2 linked regions of the Elephas maximus indicus genome follow. The main gene of each other region encodes a partner of the protein of the gene in region 2 in a complex. Links are inferred from orthologs where the notes say so. Each region holds a gene or a part of one and is shown on either strand. Other genes may lie near its edges.

Region 1 (14,886 bases), on a different chromosome or scaffold from region 2:
TTTTTACCTTATGATTTATGTTATGACTCTTTGCCTCATCCAGTTCAAGTTCAGAATTTAAAATGTTTGTCCTACATCATTATAGTCAGTCACAGCAAATACAGCTTGGCATATTCATATTCATTCAGGGTTAAAAACAGCTCAATTTTAAGACAACTGAAGACCATATGAAATCACAGGTGTATGTTTCCTCCTCTTTTTTGAATGGGCTCATTTACAAAAACAAGGGACACCCTCAGTGAGATGATGCATTGACACAACAGCTACCATGTACTTAAATGTACCAACAATCATGAGGACAGCACAGGATCGGGCAACATTTCACTCTGTTCTACACAAGGTCACCATGAATCAGAGCCCACTTGGGGGCAACTAACAACAACAGAACAATTTGAGGTACATCATGAGTTTCTGTTCTTGGTTGGTTAGTTAGTTTATAGCCTGTGAATGGTGTTGGATTTGTGTTGATTCATCCACCTTCTCATGATCTTCCCCCACTGAGGCAGACATATTTATTATGACAGGTACAGCCTATGACCAACAAACTAGGCCAAGTTCACCAGGCTAGTATCAGTTGCCATGGAGCCAACTCTTGACTCATGGTGACCCCATGTGTATCAGCGTAGTTAAAGGTGTGTGCGCCACAGGGTTTTCAATAGCAGATTCTTCAGAAGTGGATCACCAGGCTTTTATTCCAAGGCACCTCTGGGTGAACTCAAACCTCCAACCTTTTGCTTGGTAGCCCAGCGCATTAACCATTTGCATCACGCAGGGATTCCTAACCAGTCCATCAAGGAAAAAACATCTAGAACTCAGACCTTTTTTTTTTTTTTTGCATTGGGCAAATCTGCTGCAAAAGACCTCTTTAAATTATTAATAAGCAAAGATGTCGCTTTGAGGACTAAGGTGCACCAGACCCAAGCCATGGTGTTTTCAATCATCTCATATGCATGCAAAAGCTGGAAAATGAATAAGGAAGACTGAAGAAGAATTGATGCATCTGAATATACCATGGACTTCCAAAAGAACAAAAAAATCTATCCTGGAAGAAGTACAGCCCGAATGCTCCTTAGAAGCAAGGATGCTTGGACATGTTACCAGGAGGGACCAGTCCCTGCAGAAGGACATCATGCTTGGTAAAGTAGGGGGTCAGCAAAAGAAAGGACCACCCTCAAGGAGATGGGCTGACACAGTGGTTGCAGTGATGGGCTCAAGAACAGCAACGAACGTAAGGCTGGCCCAGGATAGTGCAGTGGTCTGCTCTGTTGTATACAGGGTCACTATGAGTCAGAACCAACTCAATGGCACCTAACAACAACAATAAATTCAAGATTAAACAAGCATTTTTACTTGTCACATTCTCAAGTCTAACGTTGCATTTTAGTTCATAATAAAAAAAAATAAGACATATAAAATATGAGAGAAAAATACCAGAAAGCAAAGAAGTGCATCACAAGCTGCCATCCTCCCTTAGGTGCCCTGCCTGACCTGCCCTGCCACAGGTCCCCGTACAGCCATGCTCCAGCCAGCCTTGTGGCCAAGAAGGACGTCATAGGTAGGGGTTCATCACCCATGACTTTTAGGGTCATGCACAAAGCAGGGGTTCAATAAATATTTGTTCAGTGGATTAATGAAAATAACAGAATGAAGACTTATTTTTATAGGTACTAAACAATCCTCATGAGAGTCTTATGATTTCCTGCTTGTTGATGACCAAACCCCAATCTTTCCATATTTTGAGAGAATAGTTTAAAAGGTAGCCTAATACTTACCACTGAGTGGCAGTAGTCATTCCATGGGAGGCATAAGAATAACATCAAATACCAGCAATAAAATCACAATACATGAACATTTTATATTTCAAAAGCAATGTGTTGTCTATAAATCACTTTCTCATTTAATCATCATAGGCATTATACGGAAATATACCAAATCTTATTGCTGTTTTTTTGATGGCAGAAGGGGGAAAAAGGTGAAATCCAGAGCAAACCAACCGTAAGTCAAGAATAAAAAGAAACTTATGAACTGAAAGGAACCTCGTTGCTGATCTTGTCCAACCTCCCAGGAAAACCTGGTTAAACATGTTTTTCTCTTTCATTATAACTGGACTATGTTCTCCTACCTTATTCAAAAAGCTCTGCACATCATCTTACTAATTCTACCTGTCAGAAGAGAAATGGAGCAAGATGCTGGTACTGCCTGTTAGAACAGCAACAAAACCTTTCCTTTCAGGCTTGACAGGTATGAACACGGCCTTTAAACCTCATTATGGAGAAAAAAAAGGAAGGGCCGGTGTGTGTTCTCCTAGGAAAATTCCTTTATCAACTGGCAAAAAGAGATCTTGATTTTTAAATTGCCACCCAGGCTAAACAAATCACATCTGATAATCTCAAAGTTAAGAGTAAAGAATACCTTCTGCATTCCACAAAACCAAACGCCTAATCCAAATAGATTTTATCTTGGCTCAGTTTAGAAGCTGGTGAGAAAAAGTAGAATTGTCCCTTCATGTCATATCCATTCAGTTCAACAAATAAATGTCCTACCACGCGCCAGTACCATGCTAGGCAGGCGGTGGGTGATACATGTAATTATTTAGGATTAGCCAGTTACCACATATTTCCCTGAACTAAATGCATTAAAACAAAAGTTACCATAGAGTCGATTCCTACTCATGGCGATCCCATGTGTTCCAGAGCAAAACTGTGCCCCACAGGGTTTCCACAGCTGTGACCTTGAAAGTAGATCACCAGGCCTTTCTTCCTAGGTGTCTCTGGACAGATCTGAACCACCAACCAGTTGGTTAGTAGCCAAACAGTTAAAAACCCTGTCTTAAACATTAAGGGACTGTCCCTCACTTTATCTATCATCTCTAAAGAAGAGTACTTCTTTTAAGTTAAGAAATCAATAGCAACCTCTGAAATAGATTCTTCATCTGTTTTAGGATCTCAATCCTATTAAAAGCTGTTAAAAATAGCACCTCCATCTTTCTCTCACTTTTCTTCCCTTCTGCTCTCCTCCACATGAAAAGGTTAAGTGATGATATCCAGTCCAAAGAACAATGGACAATGCATACACAAAGCTCCCTCCTTCAACTTCCAACAGCAGCAAGAAAGTCAAACACGGATTTAAGAAAAAGAAGACACACACCATTATTCCTGTCAAGTGTATAAACAGGGCACTTACTCTAGTCCACAAACTCAGCAAAATCTGAAGAATCAAACTTGTAATGAAAAGAAGCCTTTTTTCTAAGTAGTAAGTGAAAGAAGTACAGCCAGAGCCCTCCTTGTAAACAAAGATGGCGAGACTTCATCTCACATACTTTGGACATGTTATCAGAAGGGACCAGTTCCCGGAGAAGGACATCATGCTTGGTAAGGTAGAAGGGTCAGTGAACAAGAAGAAAACCCTCAATGGCATGGACTGACACGGTGGCTGGAACAATGGGCTCAAGCATAACAATGACTGTGAGGACAGCGCAGGTCTAGGCAGTATTTAGTTCTGTTGTACACAGGGTCACTATGAGTGACTGACTTGATGGCACCTAATAACAACAAGTAAAAGAACCTGGGAATTAGTTTAACTCTAAAATAAGATCACAGATACTGTCAAATAAGTTTTTATTTTTCAGAAATGGGTTTTTCATAACCATCATAAAGGTTCTGCATGAGGAAACAAGTCAATCTGAAAGAAGAAAGCAATGGTCTGTGGCATATCATTTTCTCTGAAAGTTAGTAGGCAAAACGTAAATACAAAAAGATCACCTCAGGAGGAGTGTTTTTGTTTGTGTGTGTTTTTTATTTTTTCAGTCCAATCTCAGTTAAAACTGGGCTTAATGCTTAAGGATCTTCTTAAACCTTTTGATATGAGATACTTTGCACACTCAAACACTGAACTGTTTCCTTTATGATTTATTTCCTCACCTCCAATAATCATCCAAATAATGCTTTGTTGAAGAAGAACTGACACATTTGAATTAGGGTATTGGCAAAGATATACTGTGGCCTATAGAAGAATGAACAAATCTGTCTTGGAAGAAGTATAACCAGAACACTCCTTAGAAGTCTGGATAGTAAGAACCTCTCATGTACTTTGGACATGTTTTTAGGAGGCACTGATCTGTCTTGGAAGAAGCAAGGATGCTCTTTAGAAGCAAGGATGGCAAGACTGCGTCTCACATACTTTGGACACGTTGTCAGGAAGGATCTGTCCCTGGAGAAGGACATCATGCTTGGTAAAGTAGAGCATCAGTGAAAGAAAGGAAGACCCTCAATGAGATGGACTGACACAGTAGCTGCAACAACGGGCTCAAGCACAACGACTGTGAGGATGGTGCAGGACCACAGGATCAGTTGTATGAGGGGTCACTATGAGCTGGAAATGAGTCCATGGCACCTAACAACAACATTGCTTTGTTATTTTTTATGGGAATGTTACACCACACTTGTCATTTTTTTAAAAAAGCAAAGTTAAGGTAACAAAATAATGATTTTTTAAAACAAGCTAACCTAGTGTGGGGGGCGTGACAGGTAAAACACGACAGAATGTCAAGTTTGGGATCCATTATTTTGACACCAAACTGATAGTAAGCTGGCAAAGAAATTAACCTACTTTTTGGGTAAACTGGAGCCCCACAAACATTCATCTAAACCCTGGTGGCGTAGTGTTTAAGTGCTACGGCTGCTAACCAAAGGGTCGGCAGTTCAAATCCACCAGGCCCTCCTTGGAAACTCTATGGGGCAGTTCTACTCTGTCCCATAGGGTCGCTATGAGTCGGAATCGACTCAATGGCACTGGGTTTGGCGGTTTTTGGTTTATCTAGAGGTTAATCTGAATAATTAACCAGTGTTTCAATATTGTTTTCACTAAGTGTTTTGGTAGGTTTGGCACCTCAAAGATAGCTTTGATGCAATTTGTACATTTAAAACACACTTAGTGCAAAAAGAAATTAATAAAATGATCAGAACCACTTGATTTTCTCTTTAGGAACTAAGTATCCAAAATTAGCTTTGAATAGTAGGGGTAATGTTGCTCTTTCCTACTCGGCAATTATCCTCAATAATTTTGGCTTTAATTTGGGCATAGCGCTGTATTTTACAAGACAAGCTACAAATTAACCAGTTATTTAACTTAGAAAATAATCTTTCAGTCACATTAGGCAACTCTCTTAACCTACAGGGCACTTTACATTTTACAGCATGCTTTTTATCAGATAATACGCTTAATGGTAGTGGGTGGATACCGTCCCTCTATCACAAACAGACGAAGTTAGTGCCATCACCAAAAGAACAACAAAACAGAATTTGAACTCGGAATTTTTGACTCTGGTGAGCGCTCCACCTACAAGGTCAAGTTTTAACTGCAGTGATGATCCTCCCTCAGGAGAGCCATACAGCTTTAGGGGAAACATATTCTTCATGTAAACTAAAATAAGCCCAAGTACACTTAACAACACTACAAAGCCAGTCATTGTCCAACATTCCTTTATCAGGAAAGCATCCACAGTCTTTCTTAGTACAGCCTAAAGTGTAATTCCTAGAAGGCACTGGCAAATCTCTGCCAGGCCAGCCTGCAGTAGAAAACCCGTGCATGTGTCCAACAAGATGACAGGAGGGCCAGTGTTTTTAACTCTGCTTCAACTCAGCCTTGCAATAGCGGTTCTGGCTCACACGGTAAACATAGTAATTGCATAGGATTTGACACAGCCAATGTAAATGCCGATTCCCTTGACCACAGACATGCAGCTCTGGGGAAATATAATTTCTGGAACAATACATGGTACTTGCATAATTGCACAAACGCACAAATCATTTTTTAAAATAATGTTCAGTCTCAGCTCTGCGCTGACACTTTTCCCACCTAAACTTCTCAGTACAAGCCTGGCCTAAAAGCACACTAGGGACCCAATCCATGCACGGGGTAAAAGCAGCATGCACCCACGATCTGAGCCGAACGGTGGGACAATGCCTGCCCAGTCCTGTTCTGGCCGGGTTGCGATGGAGTTTACTCCCGTCTACTTTATGGTAATGTTCTTTTAAAACCCCGCCGCGACCGAGGTCATAGCTTTAGGGATCTAATAACAACCAAATGACCAAGGCTGCCAGGCACTTAGTGAGCCATTCTGGTTATAGCTCTTTAATAGTACCTGGAGTTCTGCTGGAGGGAAAGCGGAAAACTCCTGCTTCCCCGGAAAGAAGTCCCTTACGGGGAGAGCAGAGTGAAGCAAAGACACCGACCGCGGGCAGACGCCCCGCCGCCGCGGCCCCATCTCCCCGGCAGCCCCAGTGCGACCCTCGCCCCGCAGCCCGGCTGGCCCCGGCCGCACCTTTACCTGTCAGTCCCACCATCCCCTCTATGCTGCTGCCCCGCGGCCCCGACGGCCGCCTCTCCGAGTCCCGGGCACAGCTTTTCAGCTGGCTGCAGGAGAAAGAACCCCAAAGGCATCCTATCCCAAAGAAAGAAAAGCAAAGAGGCTGCTCCTCCAGGCGGAGGGACATGGGGCACGTCGGAAGCTGAGAGGCGACATGCCACCCCTGTCCCGCACCTACCAGATAATCCATGTACAGAAACGCCTCAGTTATTCGGAGATCAGACATCCGGCAGTCTAAAGCATCCGGAACGGCTCCGAACCCGGAAAAAAAAAGGAGCGTCTCTGGCTGCGAGCAAGCAGCCCCTGAAAAGCCAGCAACAGCGAAAATAGCCGAGAGCAGCCGAGAAGACGAAGATTACACAAGGGGCGCGGCGATTGGCCGGTCGCGCGAGAAGAAGGAAAGGCTAGTGCTGATTGGCTGCGGGGCCTATAAAAGGCAGGCCAGTGCGGGGGGCTGGAGAGAAGCGCGGGAGAGGCGACGCTGCTTGTCTCGGTTCGGAGGGTGCAGGGCAGGCGTAGGGCGGCGCAAGCCGAAGAGCCAGTCGGGAAGAGCGGAAAATCGGCAGGTGCTGCCACCGCCGGAGTTGTGTGTGCTTCTGTAGCCTCCTGGTTAGATAAAGCGTAGCAGAGCTCTGTGCTCCTGTACCAGGGAATCTTGGAGTCCCTTCCAGCCCTCCCCAGTAGGAAGCAAGCGTTGCAATGTGGGAGGCGAGGTAGCCACAGACACTTAATGTCTCTTTTGGCAGCGCTTTCTTAAAGGCTCTGCCGTCGCGAAACGGGTACTGCCGGGACGAGAAGTGTGGAAGAGCGTACTTCGTGAACAGGCAAAACTGTACGGGATTCGGGACCCGGAAGACTCCGCCTCACCTTCGTCTTGTGAAACTGCTAAGGCGGACAACTGCTGCCTGATGTCCCTGGGCGTGCACACGCGACACACACAGGAGGCGCCCTCTTATCTGAACTCCAGACTGCCGCCTGCCTGAGAACTCTGTCCACCATGTGAAAGAAAAAAAGTTTAGGGATTCACTGTTGTCAGTTGTAATTCTCAAACACTTGGGAAGAAGAACTCATCAGTTTTTGGCAAGCTTTAAGTCCAGTTACACTGAGCACAAATACAACGCCTCTGAATAAAAGGAGCAATAGAAAAAGAAGCTCTCCGAAAAGATCCGAGTAAAGTAACACTTGTGACCCCATGTCATTTTAAAAGGTAAAAAAAATATGTATGGAGAGATGCACTTGAGACTTGTGCGTTTCTTTAATAACTGGGAAACTGGCATTGGGATTTCACTAATGCTTTGAGCTGAATCAAGTAAGAAGCTGAATAAGAACACTGGGGCTTCAGTATATGAACAACTACACTATACCAGACAACATGCAACATAACAGAGTGAGGTGATTACAGTGACCCTAAGGCGTTAAGGAGAATGGAGGAGAAGGGGATTGCTCTCATCTGTATTATAATTAGAGCTTCCATACAATAACGTTTCAAGAATGAAACATCAACTAAAACCTTTCTGAAGTGATCGCCTGATTGTTTAAATGTTGTTTTACCCACAGCCATCCAGTGGATTCCAATTCATAGTAACCCCATTGAGCTTCTAAGGCTGTAAATCTCTATGGAAGCAGATTGCTATATCTTTCTCCTGCATAGCGCTTGGTGGTTTCCAACCAACGACCTTTAGCTTAGCGGTGGATCACTTTAACCACTGTGCTACCAGGGCTCCTGACACCTTCCCTTTTTGTATCCCCAGGTAATGAATTTCCAGAGAATAGGTTTGTCTGGGGCTGCCAAAGCCATTCTACTTTTAAGTAGCAGTGGAATTTGCCTAACCATGCAGATAAACCAGGGAGAGTGCAGCCCCTTAGAAAGAGCACAAGGTTGATGAGCCACCTGACTTTTGAGTATGTTATCTAATCTCTCTGAACCTCTTTCCTCAACTGAAAAATGAGAATTCCTACCCCCAGGGTATTTTTGAAGGAACTAGAAGACTGAATATACACAGCACAGAGCTTGGTGTAGAGTGGCTTTATGCCTATCAAGATTACTTTGTTGATTCAATTTACAGATAAGGATGTGTGTATAAATAAAATACTTCTGAAGAAATTCTAAAAGATCTTTCCCCCTATGCAGGCACTAACTAGATTTAATTTTCATTAAGCCGTGAGACCAAATTTTGATTTTTCTTGGCATTCTGTTGTTAAACACGTGCAGGTTTAGAAGAGGTTGTGACCTGGATTCTGGAAATCATGGATTTCCATAAACCCACAGACTTCAGGATGGTACAAATGGTTAAGAGCTGGACTGCTGTATGACAGGTTGACAGTTCAAACCTACCCAGAGGTGTCTCTGGAGAAAGGCCTGGCGAGCTGCTTGCAAAAGCCTTGAAAACCCTACGGAGCAGTTCTACTCTGCACACATGGGGTCGCCACGAGTCAGAGTCCGTCTGCAACTAATAACAACACAGCCTTCAGTACAGTTGGTTGAAGCTACTGTAATTGCAAAAGTTGTTCTCTCATACTTGATAGCAAAAAATAATTCAAACAGAAAAGGAAATTGTTTTTCCTTCTCCTTTCCATGAATAAAACATATTGTTAGTAAGATAAAGGGGGCAAGCTAGCAAAGAGACACCTTTTGGTCTGTTGCCTTAGTGATGAATGATGTCTTGACTACTGCCAAGTCAGAATTTTGAGAGGCCTGTCAGTTTATGCAGGGGAAGATAACCATTCAGGGGAAGCTGGCTTCTGCCTTTGCTTCAAAAACTGACCTTAAAGAAAGACAGTCCTTCTAAACAGAATGTCATTAGGTGTCTTAGTCACCTAGTGCTGCCATAACAGAAATAGCGCAAGTGGATGGCTTTAACAAAGAGAAATTTATTTTGGTAGGTTACAAGTCCAAACTCTGGGTGACGGCTCCTGGGAAGGCTTTCTTTGTCAGCTCTGGAGGAAGGTCTTTCTCATCCATCTTCCCCTGGACTGGGAGCTTTTCTGCTCAGGAACCCTGGGTCTAAAAAATGTACTCTGCTCCCAGTGCTTCTTTCTTGGTGGTATGATGTCCTCAACTCTGCTTGCTTCCCTCTCCTTTTATCTCTTGAGAAATAAAAGGTGGTGCAGGCACACCCCAGGGAAGCTCCCTTTACCTTGGATCAGGGAGGTGACTTGAGTAAGGGTGGTGTTACAATCCCACCCTGATCCTCTCAAAATAAAATTACAATCACAAAATGGAGGACAACCATACAATACTGGAAATCATGCCCTAACCAACTTGATACACACACATTTTTGGGGGGACATAATTCAATCCATGACATTAAGCTGCACATTGTTCATTCTGCCTCAGAAATTAATAAATGGGCCCAAAACAGGGAAATGAAATAGTTTGTGCAAGGAAAATTCCAGAGTCTACTCCACTGTTTTTCCCTTATTCTATACCATTTTTATGTTCATTATGACTGACATCAAGGAAATTTTTGTGTTTGATGTAACTATTAAAAGAATTATAGATTGCATTTTGGAAGTGTCCTTGTAAAAAATCTGTAGTTTCAAAACTGCATATGGAGCACATTTTCCAGTTAGGTGTTAATCTTCTGGGCTGTTAATGTTTTTACCCTTGTGCAGAGGAAAGAGGCTAACTTGATTGTGTTGGCATGAACAGATGATACACTGCACGCTGTGTGAAGCAGCTGTCTTAGCTGATCTGTTGGTAGCTACAGCAGCCTGGTAATCACTCTAGTGTAGACTTTAAAAAAAAAGAGAGTGTACGGTGGTTAGAGTACATTCATTCAACCTACTAAATGCCAAGTAATGGACTGTCATCTTGAATAAGGCTTGATCTCATTTACCTCGACCTGCCCTTGCCTGGTGCCAAAGAAAATGTGTGTAAATTCATGGGGCAATTGCATTATTAAGCCTCTACTGACAGAAAAGCAGTGGTTGCACATGAGGTCCATTAGCCAGGTGAGTCTCCCACACGGAAGGTAAGAATTGTACCACTGAACCATCACTGCCCCCAGTCTTTCTTTGCCTCTCTTTTATAAGGACACTTGTTACATTTAGGCCCGTAGAGAAAAGCCAAAATCATCTCTTTCCCCATGCCAAGATGCACAGCTTAATCACATCTGCAGAGTCACCTCGCCATACAACACTTGATGCCCTAGGGATTGGGCCATCTACGTATTTGGGAGCCGTTGTTCAGCTACCACACTGATCTTATCATGATATGCAGATAAAGCACATACCTCCCTGAAAGTCCAAAGTGGCAAGCACACTATGAATACCTAAAGAATCAGAAAAGTGGGGATAAACTCTCGATCTTAGAAAGAATTAGATTTCTTAAAAATTTTTAATGCAGTCCCAGGACCCTTTGTAACCCTCTTTATACAATCCAGTTACTTCTCTTCTGACAGGTGAGTAGGATTATCGTCCCAAAGTGTGTCATCTCCCTCTATTGTACTTTTGGTCTCCACTTCTTTTGAGCACTGTTATGGATTGAATTATGTCCCTCCAAAATATGTGTTGTTAATATGACTGTGGTTATAATCCCATTTGAGAATGAGTTGTCTTTGTTATACGAGGGTAAGCCAAAAAGCATTACTACAAAATCATAGAAAACTTTATTGAACAAAAATATCAAAATGTGAAGCTATTGTTTCTCAGCATATCCTCCATCTAGGTCTATACACTTCTGAAGGTGAAGTTTCCATCTCTCTAACCCTTCCCGGAAGAATTCTGCATGTGACTATTTACCATGTCAAAACAGCAGTTTTGGCATCCTCAAAGGACTCAAATCGTGTTCCTTTTAAATGTTCTTTGAGTTTTGAAAACAAAAAAGAAGGCTGAAGGAGCAAGATCAGGGCTGTAGGGTGGACAGGGTAAGGTTTCCCAATGAAATTCTCATAGGACAGTCCTTGCTACCCTTGAAGAATGAGGCGGTGCATTGTCCTGATGGAAAAAAAGCCCTCAGTGCAAACTTCCTGGCCTTTTTCTCACCAATGCAGTTTTCAGTGTTCTTAAAACTTCTTCATAGTAAGTCTCTACGATTGTCCTGTGTCCTTTGTAATCCCAAAAAACAGTCGCCATAAACTTCTGAGCAGTCTTCCCTCTCTTGACTCATCTTTGAGGTCTTCCCAACCTTCCTTAAAATGCTTGATCCATCTAAAAACTTTAATGTGGGCCAGCATACCCATAAACTTGTTGCAAAGCTTCAATGATTTGAAGAGATGTCCACCTGAGTTTTGTTAAAAATTTGATAATAGCCTTGACCTCAAAATCGTTTTTTCCCATGACACAAAAAGTATCCTTTTTTTTTTTTTCTGAAGTCACCCTGACGAGACTAAGACAAGTATATTACTGAGAAAACTTGTCTGCAACCATCCACTGATCACGGAGACATGTTTAAACATGTTTTGTTTGGAATAAACCCATGCATGTATGAACTGGAATGCTAGTAACAATACTTTTTACTTACCCTCGTATTAATGAGGCAAGATTAGTGTAGGGTGTACCTTGAGTCAGTCTCTTCTGAGATATAAGAAAGACTAAACAAGTGAGCAGAGGAGAGATGGGCTTAAGATAGATTCCAAGACACATGGAGGTGTCCAAGGAACCAGGAAGCAGGAGCTAAAGTGACAAGGACTTTCCTCTAGAGCTGACAGAGAGAGAAAGCCTTTACCTAGGGCTGGCACCCTGAATTCAGACTTCTAGCCTCCTAAACTGTAAGAAAATGAATTTCTGTATGCTAAAACCACTCATTTGTGGTGTTTTTGTTATAGCAGCACTAGATAACACAAGACAATCACAGCCAAGGTTTTAACTTTTTTTGAGACCCTCTCCTCTCATTTCCTTTACTTCTTTGCCCATAGCTAAAGTTACTACTTCATAACAATTTTTTTCTAGACCAACTGGTTTAAATATGAATATTATTTCCTTCCTTCAACATTTAACTGTGGATTTCTTATAAACAAACAAACAAAAAAAAAACTATATACACACACACAAACTCATTGTCATCAAGTCAATTCCGACTCATAGTGACCCTATAGGACGGAACAGAACTGCCCCATAGGGTTTCCAAGGAGCAGCTGGTGGATTCAAACTGTCAACCTTTTGGTTAGCAGCCAAGCTCTTAACCACTGAGCAACCAGGACTCCGATTTCCTTATAAAGAATTTTATTTACCTGCGTATTATAGTCTGATTAGTTCTTCACTCTCCACAAATTCTTGAACTCCATTAATAACCTTTTTTTTCTATTCCAAGCTAAACATAGAAAGATAAAATCTCCAAAAATATTTTGATTGTACAGTGCTTTATTGTGGTTTTGAACCTTCTCTGGGATGAAACATCTGAATTGCTTTATCCTGCATGACAGGGAATACCATGCCAAATTTTTTAGAAGTATTTAACCAAGATTCTAAGCCCTATTTGATAACCAGTTTACAAAAAATCAGCAAAGTAAACGAGAAGAATCAGCTATGTATCTTCAATGGATTATAAAATACATATTTCTTTGATGGTGATTTATTTCAAAAAATGAAAAAATTACCATTTGGAATATAAAGGTGCTTTGGAGACTGAGATGTATCACATACAGTGTCATATTGCAAGGCCAATTTTGATTTTTAATAATCAAATCTTAAAAACCAGTTCATGCTGGATTCAAAGTCAGTTTTAATGAGATAGCTTATAACATACCCTTAGTTCCTCTGAACTAACAAAGAACACATTAGGAAATGAAGTCCAAGGGAATGACATTTAATATAGTAATGCCCCAAGGACCTGAATAATTTAATAAAGATCTAACCATTTCCTTTTTTCTAGAAAGTAGAGCTCACCAAACTGACTTGCCTTCCCTAATGACCTGAAGAGGTCACTCATAACTTTTACATTCTCACAATTGATAATCCATAACATTCCTGGCATATGATATATGCTGTTTGCACTATTTCATCCTTTTTTCTGCATTCCTTTTCTTCCCAGTTGACCTTGGTAGGAACTACTTGTGTTCATGTTCCTGCAGGTTTAGTTCTCCAGGAAGCAAAAGATTCATTAAGAAGTAAAACCTGTGAAAGAAGAGACCCAGGATTGGTCAGGGGGCACCAGAAGAACATTTTACAGAACTGACAAAGTCTTTATTGGCCTTACAGGTAGCTCCAAAGATTGCCCATTAGAGCAGTCAATATGGGACAGAAATGGCTAGACTGTTATACTACCACCTTGCTTAGTCATTGGTTGGGGCAATCCCAAGAAGAGAAAAGCCCAACTTTGGCTCCAAGGCTGAAGTAGAGCCTAAAGAACTGACAGCTAAGCACACTCCTCAAAATTAGGCAGGGAGTCCTTTCTTGAATGATGCATTGTCATGTCTGCCACACCTGTGTTTCTGAACCTCCCTTGAAAGCCTGGCTTAGTGCTTTACATATAGCCCTTGCACCATGTCTTACGCAGGGTTCTCTAGAGAACCAGTGACGTGTGTGTGTGTGTGTGTGTGTGTGTGTGTGTGTGTGTATTTAGAAAGAGAGATTTACTTCAAGGGATTGGCTCACAAGATTGTGGGGACTGGCAAATCCAAAATCCATAGGTCAGGCGGCAGGCTGGACACGTATGCAGGCTATTGTCCTAAGATCCATAGGTCAGGCGACAGGAAGAGTGCTACTATAGATTGAATTGTGTCCCCCAAAAATGTGTGTGTCAACTTGGCTAGGCTATGATTCCCAGTATTGTGTGATTGTCCACCATTTTGTCATCTGATGTGATTTTTCTGTGTTGTAAATCCTACCTCTATAATGTTAATGAGGCAGGATTAGAGGCAGTCATGTTAATGAGACAGGGCCCAATCTACAAGATTACCTTGTGTTGTTGTTGTGAGGTGCTGTCCAGTCGGTTCCAACTCACAGCGACCCTATGTACAAAAGAACAAAACACTGCCCAGTCCTGTGCCATCCTCACAAATCATTGTTATGCTTGGCTTTCAGCCAAGATCCATCTGATATCAGGCAATGATATCCTTCATTCACCGTCCTCTTCAGAACCCGGCTTGAATTTCTGGCAGTTCCCTGTTGATATACTGCTGCAATCTCTTTTGAATGATCTTCAGCAAAATTTCATTTGTGTGTGATATTAATGATATTGTTTGATAACTTCCACATTCTGTTGGATCACCTTTCTATGGAATGGGCATAAATATGAATCTCTTCAAGTTGGTTGGCCAGGTAGCTACCTTCCAAATTTCTTGGCATAAATGAGTGAGCACTTCCAGAGTTGCATCTGTTTGTTGAAAGATCTCAATTGGTATTCCATCAATTCCTGGAGCCTGGTTTTTCCACCAATGTGTTCAGCCCAGCTTGGACTTCTTCCTTCAGTATCATCAGTTCTTGATCATATGCTACCTCCTGAAATGATTCAATGTTGACCAATTTTTTTGGTACAGTGATTCTGTGTTCCTTCCATCTTCTTTTGTTGCTTCCTGCATCATTCAGTTTTTTGCCCATAGAATCCTTCACTATTGCAACTCGAGGCTTGAATTTTT
Region 2 (15,480 bases):
TGCTTTCTACACACAAAAGTAAACCAAAAGCCAAACCTGTTGCTATCGGGTTGATTCCAACTCACAGCACCCCTGTAGGACAGAGCAGAGCTGCCTCCGTAGGGTTTCTGGAGTATCTACAGAAGCAGACTGCCACATCTTTATTCCGAGGAGCACCTGGTGAGTTCGAGCCCCCAATCTTTCGGTTAGCAGCCAGGTGCTTAAACACTGCACCACAAGGGATCCTTCACTCAAAAGTAAAAAAAAAAAAAAAAATTTTTTTTTTTTTTTAAAAGTAGTAGCCTTTAATTTAGCTTTTCCTTTCCCTACACTGTTTTGTTTTAGACAGTTTTCCTAAGATTCTCAGAATCCTTTAGTAGGATTTACTAAGCTTATTATCTTTAGATTTATAAGTAACTACAAAGCTAAAAAAAAATAAACTGAATGCTTCGAAGGCCAGTGTAGCAGGGGCAGGGGTTTGGGGACCATGGTTTCAGGGGACATCTAAGTCAACTGGCATAATAAAATCTATTAAGAAAACATTCTGCATCCCACTTTGAAGAGTAGCATCTGGGGTCTTAAACGCTAGCAAGCAGCCATCTAAGATGCATCAATTGGTCTCAACCCACCTGGATCAAAGGAGAATGAAGAACACCAAGGACACAAGGTAATTACAAGCCCAAGAGACAGAAAGGGCCACATGAACCAGCGACTACATCATCCTGAGACCAGAAGAACTAGATGGTGCCCGGCTACAACCGATGACTGCCCTGACAGGGAACACAACAGAGAACCCCTGAGGGAGCAGGAGAACAGTGGGATGCATACCCCAAATTCTCATAAAAAGACCAGACTTAATGGTCTGACTGAGCCTGGAAGGACCCCAGTGGTCATGGCCCCCAGACCTTCTGTTGCCCCAGGACAGGAACCATTCCCAAAGCCAACTCTTCAGACATGGATTGGACTGGACAATGGGTTGGGGAGGGATGCTGGTGAGGAGTGAGCTTCTTGGATCAGGTGGATACTTGAGACTATGTTGGCATCTCCTACCTGGAGGGGAGGTGAGAGGGTGGAGGGAGTTAGAAGCCGGCGAAATGGACAGGAAAAGAGAGAGTGGAGAGAGAGAGCAAGCTGTCTCATTAGAGGGAGAGTAATTGGGAGTATGTAGCAAGGTGTATATAAGTTTTTATCTGAGAGACTGACTTGATTTGTAAACTTTCACTTAAAGCACAATAAAAATTATTTTAAAAAAAATTTAAAGAGACTGCATGGAGTACACAGGGGCAGAGTTGTAAAGGAAGCTCATTAGAAACCAATTATTATACAGGTGTCTACAAAAAATGTAAATAAAATCAAGATCAAAACACAAACCTGAGTTTGAGTCACACTTCCAACACACAGAGATTAAGAAACCAAGAGTAAGATATTTTAGCTATATGAAAAATGGTTGTAGAGTAGTCCATTCAAGTAGCATGCCAGTACAGTATGTTACTATAAAACATTTTCAAAATGAATCTTGATGCTTTGACATGGAAAAAAACTGGAAATAAAATTCCTTTGATTTTGGATCATAGGGGCTAAAAAATTGATTTGTTTTAATGGCAAAAATGGGGACACCAACTGTTATGCATGGAGCCCTGGTGGCAGAGAGATTAAGAGCTCAGCTGTTAACCAAAAGGTTGGCAGTTCAAGTCCACCAGCTGCTCCTTGGAAACCCTATGGAGCAGTTCTACTCTGTTCCATAGGGTCGCTGTGAGTCGGAATCAACTCGACAGCAATGGGATGGGAACTGTTATGTATAACTTCACAGATGCACTGGGTTTAAGGCCATATATGCTTGAATATGTTTTGTATCTGTTGTCCAGAGGTAATATTTTCACCAAAACCAAAAACCAGACTCATTGCCATCCAGTTGATTCCAACTCATAGTGACGCTATAGGATTTCCCAGGCTGAAATCTTTACGCCAGCAGACTGCCATATCTTTCTCTTGCAGTGTTTTTCACAAAAGTCCGAAATTCACACTCAGTAAAAGAGAAACGTATCATGAGGAACAAGGGAGCCAGTACACTATAGAGGTTGAGAGTTCAAGCTCTGGTGTCAGACATACTTCAGTTAAAGCCCCAAATCCAGAACTTACTACATGTCCTTGAACAAATCATTTAACCTAAGCCTCAATTCCCTCATTTTCAAAATGGAGATAATACATCATTCAGCCATTGTAAGATTTAAACAAAGTAATTCATGTAAAGCATTCAGCCAGTACCTGCACAAGTAAATAACAATATTAATAATAGCAACATGCTAATTGTGAAACTAGCGTAATTACTGTCTTCCAACCTAAAGGTTAGTTAAAAGTCTTCTGGTAGGCAAAAAGCTCTAATCATTGAAAGAAGATATGCACATATACTTTTATAAAGACAGCTTTTCATTTTTTTCCATACTGCAAAATATTTCTACTCCTCCCTCCTCAGCAAAGAATAACTCGGATTAATTATGTACAGTTACATAAAAAAAGAAGAGCCCTGGTGGCACAATGGTTGAGCACTCATCTGCTAACTGAAAGATTGGTGGTTCGAACCCACCAAGTGGCTCCACAGGAGAAAAGACCTGGCAATCTGCTCCCATAAAGATTACAGCCTAGAAAACCCTGTGGGCAGTTTTACTGTGTCATACATTGGGCCACTATGAGTTGAAATCAACTCAACAGCACCGAACAACAACACGAACAGAGGCCCTGGGTGGCACAAATCGTTAAGTGCTTGACTACTAACCCAAAGGTTGGCAGTTGGAACCTACCCAGAGGCAACTCAGAAGAAAGGCCTGGCCACCTGCTTCCAAAAGGTAACAACAGCCTTGAAAACCCTATGAAGTACAGTTCTGCTCTGCAACACATGGGGTCACCATGAGTCAGAATTGACTGTATGGCATATATATAGAAAAGGATTCAACGCATTCTGAATTAAACAACAAAAAAAAAACCAAACCTGTTGCCATTAAGTCGATTCTGACTCATAGCGATCCTGTGGGACACAGTAGACTGCCCCCAAAGAGTTTCCAAGGAGCGCCTGGTGGATTTGAACTGCTGACCTCTTGGTTAGCAGCTGTGGCACTTAACTGCTATGCCACCACGGTTTCCACATTCTGAACTAGGAAAGTTAATTTTCAATGAGATCTGAACTGGTGATCTTATTAGTTGGAGGAGTTGCAGGGGGTATCGTAGAATTTATTTTTGTTTTTTGGAAATGGAAAAGTCAGCAGAAAGAGGGAAGAAAAAGAAGAAAAAGCCTTCAAACCACTACACAGGCTGTTATTCAATGGAGAAAAACAATAGAAGGTTGAACATCCACATTATTTCATAAATGAATTAGAAAATAAAGAAGCAAAAAAAAAATTAGGTGAAATACTCTAACTCACACATGAAAAAGAACTAATATAGCTGTTAGTAAGGTTAAAGCGATCAAATCCATCAAATAAAAATCCAAGAAAGAGAAAGTGATATATCAATTATGCCTATAGTTTAAGTAATGAACTCCATCCTTTTAAGATAATGTCTTAAATTTCCCATTTGTACCCAACAGTCTTTGCCATTACTCTGAATATGCCCCTAGCTTGAATGTGCCTTTACCTTGTACTATCTTTGAAGCCAAATATATCCTTCTGCTTTTTTTTTTTTTAAGGACAAAAATAAAATCTTACAGAGCATTACTTGTCTAGAGTTCTTAGAAAAATAAGAGCAATTCAATTATTTAAAGGTTAGATTTCAAAGAAAATACTGTTAACAAGATAGCTAATTTGGGGGGTAAAGAGGGGCCTCATGAAAATAAATCAACCATAGGAAAATTGTTCCAGGACAACTAAAAACAAATTTCAAAATAATGCAAATTTTGGTATTTTTGAATAGACATGATTAATGAGTAGTAAGGTGAATAAGTGAATTCTGAAAAGAAAAACAGAAGCGAAGAAAAGACTTCAGCAGGAGTGCAAACTAGTGTTATCAATCCATCATTACACATGCAAAAATTCTGAATAATAAAAAATCAGACAATGAACTGTTTTATCAACATTTGGAACTTAGCGATTGAAAGAAAATTAAGTATTTTAGAGAAATTTTCAAGCATTTCAAGCTAGCTTTCTATATTACACATATTACTGCAAAATGAATGAAGAAAGGGAGACTGGCTAGATGTTCTAATTAACAGCTTAGCAATCAAAGAATAATGACACTCCCAAAAGAAGCTTTGTTACCTAGAGAAAATGGACATTTCCTTTTTCCTGCCTAAGAATCCAGATGCAAATCACCAACCTCGGAAACACATTCTTCTCTATTCCTTTATCTGAAAATTACTGCAGTGTGACCCTGTTGAATAGAGGGCATCATCCAGCCAGAAAAATGGAATTAGGGCAACCACACACTATGCGTATGTTCAGATCATTACATTCACTGAGCTGTCACCAGGTACACATGGCCTTTTTCAGTGGGGAGGCCATTGTTGGTGATCAAAAATCTATTTGAAGAAGGAAAGCTTAGGTCATTAACGGTTACATACACACTTCGATACGCTGACATACACTAGCATCATAACAATTTTTAAAGCTTCAGCATCCCTTGGTTTTCAAGTAACAACACTAGCTATTTACTGGGGACTTTTTAATGGCAGAATTTCGGTAATAACACCATGAGTTGTTATTCACCTGATCATTACATGGTAAAACAAACAAACAAAAAATAGTACAATGTAAGAAAGGCAAGCAAATCAGACTCTGCACTTCCCTTCCCTGTTAAATACCGTGAACAGAGACAGTTGACTTGGATACATACTTCAGTTTACCAGGTGATCAAGGTTAAAAAGAACACTTCTAGACCCAAATGACTCAAGATATAAATAAACCACAATTAATTGAGGGATTCATCCCATTGTTAAAGGCTCAAGCTTCTGCCAAAATCACTCTTGGTTTGGGAAATGTTTTAGGTAAATTTAAACAAACAATGCAGCAAGTTAAACAAGACATGCTAACTTCCTAAAAGATTAACTTACCCCTAGTCTTTCCAAATTATATATTAATAACTAACCTCAATTTTCAAAAATCTCTTTTCCAGCTAAGGCAAGTCACACCCAAATGAGTGAACTGTTTTGGTGGTACCCACCTTACCCTACCCCTACCCCCCAAAGGCAGACGTCAAATCTTCCCCACAGGTCGCCAGACAACCAGGAACCGAAGCAATACGAAATGCACTTCCAATCTTTGAAACATCGACGTCGAGGCTTAAGGAGGAGGAAAATGAGTGTACTAGGTTTAAAAAAGCTATTTAAATGTTCCAAAAGCCTGCGATTAGAGCAGGTCAACCAAATGGCATCGCATGGCATTAGCCGGCCCCTACTTTCACCTACCCACTCAGAACGCAGGCAAATAAACTCGGCAGACCTCTCAAAACCTGAGACACCCAGGGGAAAAAAAGATGTATCCTGCAGAGCAATTACACTGCCTGCTTTTTGATGGCAGTCTTATGCTTTTAAAGAATCCAGGAGCGTTTACTAGTTCAATCCGTCCCCAAATCCACGCCACCCTTTCAACTTTACAATTGAGAGAGAGAAGGAGAAATTCCGGTCAACTCGCCTTGGGGGGTTGGTCTAAGGGTAGAGGACTTAAGTAGGGAGAAAGATGGAGAAAGAAAGAGCGAGCCAATGAAAGATATCAAAATTTCCCACCTTTCTTAAATTCTTCCAGCATAGCGTCCAACTTGGTGTCGTTGAAAACGAAGTGCAAGGGGTGGTTATAAAATTTGGTGATGGTTTTCAGGGGAGTACAGTCATCTGGGTCCACAAAGGCCAAGTCTTTGACAAAGAGGAGGTCCACGATGTTGGAGCGCTCCCCCTCAAATACTGGAATGCGAGTGTAGCCGCTCTCCATGATCTCCGACATCGTGTTGAAGTCCAGGATGGCCTCGCCCGTGATCATGAAGCAGTCCCGGAGCGGAGTCATCACGTCCTCCACCGTCTTGGTGCGGAGCTCCAGCGCCCCTTGGATGATGTTCAGCTCCTCTTTGACGAGGTCGTTGTAAGGATCGGTAACCCGGAGCATCTCCAGCAGTTTTTCCCGGTTATAGACGGTGCCTATCTCCTGACCCAGGACGCAGTCCAGCAGCTTGCTGACCGGGTAAGAAGCAGGAAAGGTCATCATCATGAAAAATTTGGTGAGGAAGATGGTGTTGGCACCTACGGCCAGGCCGTGCCGGGAGCAGATGGCCTGGGGCACTATCTCCCCGAAGATGACGATGCCGATGGTGGAGACCACCACCGCCACGAGGCCGGAGCCCGCGATGTCGTCGAGCAGGATGGTAAGCGTGGTGTTGACCAGCACGTTGCCCAGCAGCAGCGAGCACAGCAGGTAGTTGCCCTGCCTGCGCACGGGCTCGATGCGCTTAGCGTAATTCTTCTCCTTCTCGGTACCGCAGTTCTGCACGATGCGCAGCTCCATCGGGTCCAGTGCCATGAGCCCCAGGTTGAGGCCGCTGAACATGCCAGACAGGCACAGCAAAAGCGAGATGAAGATCACCTGCAGCCAGAAGGGCAGCAGAAACTTCTTCTCCTCGCCCACGATCATCTTCGTGTCCTCGCCGTCGTGGTAAATCCACGTGGTCTCAGCCCACGGGGGTGGTGGGAGCCCGGCCACCCCGGAGCCGCCCTTGCCCCCGACGGTGCCCCCGGCTGACCCCGGGCCGCCGGCGCCCAGGGCCGGCGTGGAGAGCGACGTGCACAGGTAATAGGACTTGCTCTTCTCCATTTTGCGCAGCGGTTTGATCTCGATCTCGATAATGCCCGAGGTGCGGCGGTTGAGGATGATGTGGGGCAAGATGATGATGTCTGAGGTGCGGATGCCGCAGCGCTGGGGGCCGCTGTCCGGCTCTGGCGGCGCGGGGCCACCCAGCCCGCGCTCGCCGGGGCTGTGGCGCCGCCGCTCGTGCTCGGTGAAGGCGATGCGGGACCACGTCTCGTTGTTGATGTTCTGCCCGTACACACGCAGCTTGACCCGGGTCCGCTCGCTCACCCGCAGCGCCCCCCCTTCCATGAACGACACGTCGTTCGTGTCCTCCAGCCTCAGCCCGATGATCACCGTCTCCTCGTTCTCGCTCGCCGCGGCGCAGCCACCCCCGCCGCAGCAGCAGCTCAGCAGCAGCAGCGGCAGCAGCCGCCCCGCCGCTGCCTGCAGGACCCCCCGGCCGCGGGCGCTGAGGCTGCGGCGCGCCGCCATCTTCCAAGTGGGCAGTGCGGCGGCTGCCTGCCCGCCCGCCATGTTTACTTCGGGTTCACAAGCACCACAGCCAATCATGGGGTAGCTGCTCCAGCTGTGGCTTCATGCTTCCCACCCGGCGGCGCGAGCGCAGACACCCGGCCCTGGGAGAGACTGCAATAGAGCGTCTGCGCCCAGTGCTCAGCGGTCCGCCTCCCTGACTGACACTGACCCGGCCTCGGCCAGCTGAGGAACCCCTAGGCTCGTGGGAGGAGTAGAGGGGAGGGTAGGAGGGCCAGCCGCTCCCGCGAAAGGCAGGTCGCCGAGCCAATCAAGAGCGGGTGCCCGCCCTCCCAGCCAGGGGGCTGGAGTGGGGGCGTGGCCGTGCGCGGCACGGCGGACCAATGGCAAGGTAGGCGGGCGGGGAAATGGGTTGCCACCGTCCCCCTCAGCACGCCAAGTTTCCAGCTGAAAAGCGCGTGACTCTTGTGTATGTGCGAGGGGAGGAGGTGTGGCCAGCCGGAGCCCGATAGCCAGTCAGAAATTAGAGCTGTAGAAAGGGGGCGGGGCCTCTGGTCCAGTTGCCAATGAAAAGAAGCCGTCAACGGGGCTGGCGCTCGCTGAGGGGTCTCAGTAGTAGATCCCCGCGCCTGCTGTTGGCCTGGTTGGACTGATGCCCTGCGGTGCGAGGACCCCGGTTTTCGCTGCACCCGGTTGCTGGCCACCCAGGACATCATGCCGGTGCAGAGCGGATGCGCCTTTCTGCCACCGGTGCCCGAGAATCAGATTTGAGTTGGGACAGCTTAAAGCGCACGTAAATCCCAAATGAAAGCAGGGCACCGGCCGCGACCCCGCGCGCCCCCTTCCACCACCTGTGCACGCAGCTCCTCACGGGATAAGCGGCGGCCCGGAGGCCCCTGCACCGCCACGGACCGCCTCTTCTCGCGCCTTTCTTCCCCCTACCTGGACGCGCGAGCTCCACGGCTCGCGATCAAGTGGCACCACCTGCCGGCCGTACGGGCAGCCTGCAGTGCTTTCCAGGTCTGATGCAAACCCCGAAAGGGTTAGAAAGTTAGAGTGGGGCAGTTTCCCAAACTTTCTAGTCTTAAGAATCACCTCATATTCCTGATAAAAGTACATATTTCCTGGATCCCATCCCATACTAAAGGGGAAAGGGCCAGAAATCTATTTTTAACAAGCACCCTGGCAAGTCTGGGAAATGAGAAGGGACAGACATCCCAAACGAACCCATAAAGGCGCCTTCTCAATCACACTGACCAAACCCTGCTAGGTTCATAGTTCCCTCTGGGAAAAACAAAACAGAGACCTAACTCCCCGTGACTCCCAGCCCCACTGCTTCTGAAGGAGACAGCAGCAGAGTAACTCCCAAATTGATCTTTTTCTCCCAATGTAAACATCCAAAAAATAGCTTCCCCCTCCCCCCGCCTTTTTTTTTTTTTTTTAATATTCTGTAAGAACATTATCTCCCCTTCTTGTAAACAAATGTTCCTGATTGATTTCTGGTAGGGATGACTGCAGTGGCACCTCTTCTACACCTGTCCCATTCTCTCCTCAATCCAGCAACCAGGCTGGTCTTGTTATATCACATAACTCTACGGTGGCTTCCCACCTCATTACAGTAAAAGCTAGAGTACCCACAGTATCCCACAAGGCCCTAAAGGGTCTGCTCCCTCCTCTTACTTCTCTCACCTCATCACCTGCTGCTCCAAACATGCCCTTCCAGCTGTTTCTCAGTCACTCCGGGGCTGCCTTTGCACTCCCTGCTGGTTTTCTATGCCTGAAGTCTCTTCTCCCAGATGGCAACATAGCCTGCTAGTTCACCTCCTTCAGGGCTTTACTCTAAAACCATCTTATTTTAACCTTGCAAGCCATACTCCGTATACTCCATGTCTGCTTTTTTATCTTCAAAGCAAAGGGAGCTTTCTAATTATTAATTTGGTTTATTGTCCATCTCCTTCCACTAGAACATAAACTCCCTGAAAACAAAGATGTTGTCTTGTTTTGTTGACTGCTATATCACCAGGGCCTAGAACAATGGAGGCATTCAAAACAATATTTGGTAGATGTTAAAGAAATGAAAGAATTTCTGTTCCAATTATTTCAAGTAATGTCTCTTCCGTTTCTAGCCTTGCTTCCACCACCCCTAATTTTCATACAACTACATTTGAAAAAGAGGTTCAGATGAAGAAAACCAGATTCACTGACTTGGCACCTGTTTGTAAGAGTGGCATTATGGAAGTCTGGGGGAAAAAATGGCATTTTTAAGGATATCTGACAAAGGTTAAAGTCAGCTGATTGGAAATGAAACCACTTTACCTTCTTCAAAAATGAGAACAAGTGTGTTTAAGGGAGCTGAGAGGATGATCAAGGCTCTCAAGTGCTGAACAGACACTTTCAGAACAGGAGGGTGGAGAAGAGGGGGAAGGGAAGAGCCTGCCAAACCTACAGACATTTCCTATGCATTTCAGAGAAAGAACAGTCAGGGAAGTGTGGCATTCAGCAATTTAGAAGCAGGGCACTGGTGCAGGCTCTGATGACTTCTGGGGGCTTCCCAACCTGTCTGTATGAACACAAAACAAGGTCCACACATGCTTTTAAAGATCTTTTTTTAAATCCCGGGGGGAGGAGGGGTCAACAAAAACCCTGGATTCTGATCATATTTTGCCTCCTTGAATGGCGATTGCTGAATGGTTGCTGCAGATGTCTAATCCTAGTTAGGCCCTGACTTTGTCTCACCTTGAGCAAGTCATTCAGATAAAGCCCAAACCTCCTAGCAAATGCCTTCCCTACCTAACCCTCTCTTGCCAGAGTCCTTTACTAGAAACTCGGAAGGGCAAGAGTGACTGTTAAATTCTCTCATCTGCAAAGGATAAGCTCCTAAATCTGCGGTTTCAGGGACTTGGGAAGGTACTACGTCTAGAGCTAAAAGTCTCTAGAAGACTTTTAAAGATCGTAGGTAGAACACCAAATAGCTGACACATTTTGTTTTTCAACCTAAAGCTCTAAGTTTATAGAGAAGTTTTTTTTTCTTCCAGAAAATTACCTAGTTGTGGAAAAGTATTCAAAATTAATTGTTTCAGTGTAGTTATTAGATGCCATGGAGTCAACTCCAACTCATATCTATCTCATGTATAATAGAATGAAACATTACCTCGTCCTACGCCATCTTCGTAATTGTTAGTATGTTTGAGTCCATTGTTTTGGCTGTTGTGTCAATCCATCTCATAGAGGGTTTCCCTCATTTCTGTTGACCCTCTACTTTACCAAACATGATGTCCTTTTCTAATGGTTGGTCTTTCCTGATGATGTGTCCAAAGTAAGCGAGTTGAGTGAAATTTTAATCACACCGAAGCACAAGGTCTTCTGAGGAAACACAGGAACTAAGCAAATGCAGGAGTTACCCAAACTTTGCGAAGGGTCAAATCTGTTTGCCCTGAGAGGGATTTCTCAGAAGCAACACTGCCTACTTGTTTAAATATATAGAACTCTTTTAGCTAAAAAAAGCATTTGTCACAACAGTTAGCAAATAAATAAAACAGAACAAAGCCAGTGATGCCATTTACCTCCTCTAGAGAACTTTTTGGGCTTTTTATTTTGGGCTTTCCCATTTCCATCCTTTTCTAGATATTTTCTGGACATAGTTACTGGGAAAGAAAGGAAAACATGGCTTTTTGACATAGTTGTGAGGAAAGCTTCCTCCCTTGACAAGGGTCCACACTCCTTGGGTGCCACCCTTCCAGGGAATTCCAAGTCTTGGGCCCTCAGGTGCCCAAATGGGAAGTAGCGAAAGGGGAGCCACCTGGTGGGCCACCCTTCCCCAGTGCCTTGCTGATCTTCTTTGCTAGCCCATGATGGGTCACTTCTTCCCTCTTCTGTCTCTACAAAGACACCTAGTTTCCTCCTTTTCCCTGAAGGTGCAGTATCCCACTGAGGCCTGGCCTTGGGAGCTGGAGAGCATCTCACATCCTGGCACCCTTCTCCGTGGGACTGGCTTTTCCTGAACCCCCAATGGCGAGGCCCTAAGAGATCTCCTGAGCACTGGGCTGTCACCCACTCCATCTCTCCCCTTCTTCCTTGATCCTTCTCCACTAGTCAGAGAAGAACATTTCTGCAGCTAAAAGCCTACTGTTTGCCAGGCCCTGGAGCTGTGGAATTTTCTAGAATGTTCATTCTGTCTCAGTCTTCCTCTCTGTCCCAGCCTCTGTCTCAGCTTTGAACAAAGGTGTAAGAAAGGTTCTGATCACTGTTACTATAAATAACACTCAACACAAGTCATGACTGTAGGGAAAATTTTCACTTCCATACCTTTTAAATGTTGAACCATGTGAATACTGCTTATTCAAAAGTCTAAAAAACATTTGGGGGGGATGATCAAAAGAAGGGAGACAAGGAAGACTCCGACAAGAGGATGGTAACTCAGAAGGACCTGCAGGAGAACGAATAGGTCCTGAATGTCCAATTCTGGGTTCTTCCATAGGTTTCAAATCTGCATAGATCTGGTAGCAGCAATCTAGCTTATGATTACTACTTTAGTCATAAAATACCAGGTTTCCCATACCAGCTGAGTTCATTCCCTAAGTCTTTTTTCCACATCCTCTGAAGCTAAAATTCTATTCCAATAATCCCCATGCATAGAAAAACAATGTCAGACCCCAGTGGAAAAAATTCTGCTCCTATTTTTAGTTCCTCTGAGATATCTATTGTATTTGTTTGTTTTATTTTTAAAAATCACTGAAGATTTGTTTCTCCCCATTTATTAACGCCACATTAACTGTTTTCCTCTTTAAGTTTAAATACATTTGTATTTTATTTCCCACCCCATTTCTTTTTTTCCCCCTTTTATTTATTCATTTATTAAACTAAAATATATTGTGTATCTAGTAAGTTCCAGACACTGTGCTGGGCATGGTGAAGCTACAGTCTTGAATCAGAGGGTACCTCAGAAACTTACTAATAAGGAGTTTAGGAAATGTATACATAAACAACTACATAATGCAGAGTACAACATCAAATATCTTAAAAGGAAGTACGAATAAAGAGGGAGGACTGAGGAAAGCTTCATGGTCTTTGAGCTTGTCCCTGAAGAACAGGTAGGTTTTAGATATGCAGACATAAGACAGCAGTGTGATTAATGACTTTTGTGTGTGGCCTTTCTAGCCATGGTCTTGTAACTCCCACTCAGGTGATTGTGTGATAAGGTAATTGTGGACTACCAACAGGGTTGGTCAGTTTTGCCTTAAAAGAGAGCCAATCCCAGAGCAGAAGGGGGGCCCACGACCACCAAGGAAGGAGAGACCAGGAGATACCCGGCAACGTGGTGGGCTTCTTGGCCTGTGGAGAGAGAAAGCTGAGTGCCCTTGGGCAGAGACTGAGGGCCAGGGAGAGGCATGTCTGTGAGCACAGCTGAGGTGAGGCTATCCTGACGGAACACCTGTATCCCCAGTGTTCTTGAGCTTGAATTGTAACTGTTGCTTCCCTAATAAGCCTCATGGTTGTGAGTATGGTTTGCATAGCCGTTACAATGAATTATCAAACCCAGTAGAAACTGCTGTGGAAAGAACACTTGGTGTCAGAATTGGTAGAGATAGCCGAGAGAGCAGGCTTGTCTGGCCTCCACCTCATGGGAGTCAGCCTTGTGCTGTTGATCTTGGTTCCCCTCCCTCCTTGTGAAGTCAGAGGAGGTCAAACTCTGCCCCGATGCCGTTTTTACAAAGAGCTATTCCAGGAAGCGATTGAGAGATAAAAGGAAAAAATATTTTAATGGAAGGAAAAGTGTGAGGTGAGGCTGGAAAGGGAGCAGCATTTCTGAAACAAGCTGTAGTTGAATTTGGCCCTATGACCTACAAAGAAGAGCAGGAATAATGTTGAAAAGCTGGTTGGGGTCAGTTTGTGCTGGGCCTTGAATGCCAAGTTTAGGAGTTTAGATTTCATTCTGTAGGCACCTCTACCCATTGCTGTTGAGTCGATTTCAACTCGTAGTGACCCTATAGGACAGAACAGAACTGCTCTATAGGGTTTCCAAGGCTGTAATCCTTACGAAAGCAGACTGTCACATCTTTCTCACACAGAGTAGCTGGTGAGTTCAAACTACCCACCTTTTTGGTTAGCAGCCTAGTGCTTAACCACCATGCCACCAGAGCTCGTTCTGTAGGAACCCAGGACCTATAAAAAGTTTCAAACAGAAGAACTGTATAATAGGAAGATTAACCTGACAGGTACCAGTGCAGTGATGCTGGGCCGTGCTAATAACCTAAGGAGGTTAAGGGAACTCCTGCCACTCAAAGCAGACACACGCCTTCACAGTTTACAATGCACTTTCTCATTTTATCGTCTTGGACTGACCTTCACAATTAGGACTAAGGGATATACCACTTCTCCAGCCACATGTAGGACAATGAAACAGATAACGCCACAGGAACTCCCAGAAAACCAAGATAAGACACCACACCCTCAGTTTGCTGCTGCAGTCTCTGTAGTAATAATTGTGAATCTTAGCACAAACATCAGGTTTCCCAGGTTGGCCTGGACTCCTGGTTATATAGGTCACCCACTGATAGACGTTTTTAAACTTTCAAAATTTTTGACATATAATAAACATACATTGTTGTTAGGTTCCATCAAGTTGGTTCCAACTCATAGGGACCCTATGTACAACAGAAAAAACACTGCCCAGTCCTGGTTCATCCTCACAATCATTGTTATGCTTGAGCCCACTGTTGCAGCCACTGTGTCAATCCACCTCCTTGAGAGTCTTCCTCTTTTTTGCTGACCCTCTCCTTGACCAAGCATGATGTCCTTCTCCAGGGACTGGTCCCTCCTAAGAACATGTCCAAAGTATGTGGATGAAGTCTTGCCATCCTTGCTTCTAAGGAGCATTCTGGCTGTACTTCTTCCAAGACAGATGTGTTCATTCTTCTGGCAGTCCATGGTATATTCAATATTCTTTGCCAATACCATACTTTAAAGACATAATTCTTCTTCAGTCTTCCTTACTCATTGTCCAACTTTCACATGCTTTTGCAGCATATTTGCCCAATGCAATGTGTCATTTGATTTCTTGACTGCTGCCTCCATTGGTGTTGATTATGGATCCAAGTAAAATGAAATCCTTTACAACTTTGATCTTTTCTCTGTGTATCATGATGTTGCTTACTGGTCCAGTTGTGAGGATTTTTGTTTTCGTTATGTTGAGGTGTAATCCATACTGAAGGCTGCAGTCTTTGATCTTCATCAGTCAGTGCTTCAAGTCCTCTTTGCTTTCAGTGAACAAGGTTGGGTCATCTGCGTATCGCAGGTTGTTAATGAGTCTTCCACCAATCCTGATGCCATATTCTTCATATAGTCCAGCTTCTCGGATTATTTGATCAACATACACATTGAATAAGTATGGTGAAAGGATACAACCCTGATGCACAACTTACTTGACTTTAAACCACACAGTATCCCCTTGTTTAATCTAACAACTGCCTCTTGGTCGATGTACAGGTTCCTCATGAGTACAATTCAGTGTTCAGAAATTCCCGTTCTTCCACGCAGTCACATGCCTCTGCACAGTTAATAAAACACAGGTAAACATCTTTCTGGCATTCTCTGCTCTTAGCCAAATCCGTCTGACATCAGCAATGACATCCCTTGTTCCACGTCCTCTTCTGAATCCGGCTTGAATTTCCAGTAGTTCCCTGTCAATGTACTGCTGCAACTGCTTTTGAATGATCTTCAGAAAAAAAAAAAAAATTAATTGTACAGCAATATTGGTACCTTTTAACATGCCTCAACAAGGGTTCACAAAATATATTTAACTGAAATCTTCCTTTCTCAAAAAAATATAATCCCTTCACAAAATAGAATAAGCAGCTGTTAGTTGGGGGAGCTGCATTTAAAAATACATGTGCACTTACATATAAATAAACTACCTGAGCTGAAAATGCCTTCAGATGTGAGGCAGACAATTTTTTCTATAAATTTACTATCTAATTAGTGTACCTCTTAAAATATATCTTCTAAGCAGTCTTAAGCATTTAGGTGAAACTTTCTCCTGGCAAGAGATAAGCATATATTTTCCAAAATAGCAATTATTTTCATCCCTGTAACTTGTTCTGATCACACATTGTTGCAACAGAGATTCCTGGAAACATCTGTAGGAGCTTGGAGGATTTATGGGGGTAAGAGTTTCCATTACAAAAAGAAACCCAGAGAATCTAACTTTTCCTACAGATGTTATTACAAAGCACTGGAACAGTGACATTTG

What was found.
Region 1: the proteins of CNNM2 (region 2) and ARL15 are in contact, whole or in part, in a crystal structure (PDB 8F6D), measured with the Homo sapiens proteins. The link is inferred for Elephas maximus indicus from reciprocal best matches to the Homo sapiens genes CNNM2 and ARL15. Residues at the interface, in NP_060119.3 of Homo sapiens: Asn490, Val492, Pro521, Leu522, His523, Phe524, Val525, Phe526, Thr529, Glu537, Lys542, Ser543, Gln549; in NP_061960.1 of Homo sapiens: Tyr92, Ser94, Arg95, Gln98, Gln128, His129, Pro130, Gln131, Cys133.

Annotation. Positions count from the first base shown.
Region 1 is NC_064820.1:57,613,461-57,628,346, forward strand, and holds the start of ARL15 (ADP-ribosylation factor-like protein 15), read right to left. Parts: upstream 6,705-14,886; 5' UTR 6,594-6,704; coding exon 6,546-6,593; intron 1-6,545.
Region 2 is NC_064834.1:54,433,734-54,449,213, reverse strand, and holds the start of CNNM2 (metal transporter CNNM2), read right to left. Parts: upstream 7,500-15,480; 5' UTR 7,311-7,499; coding exon 5,690-7,310; intron 1-5,689.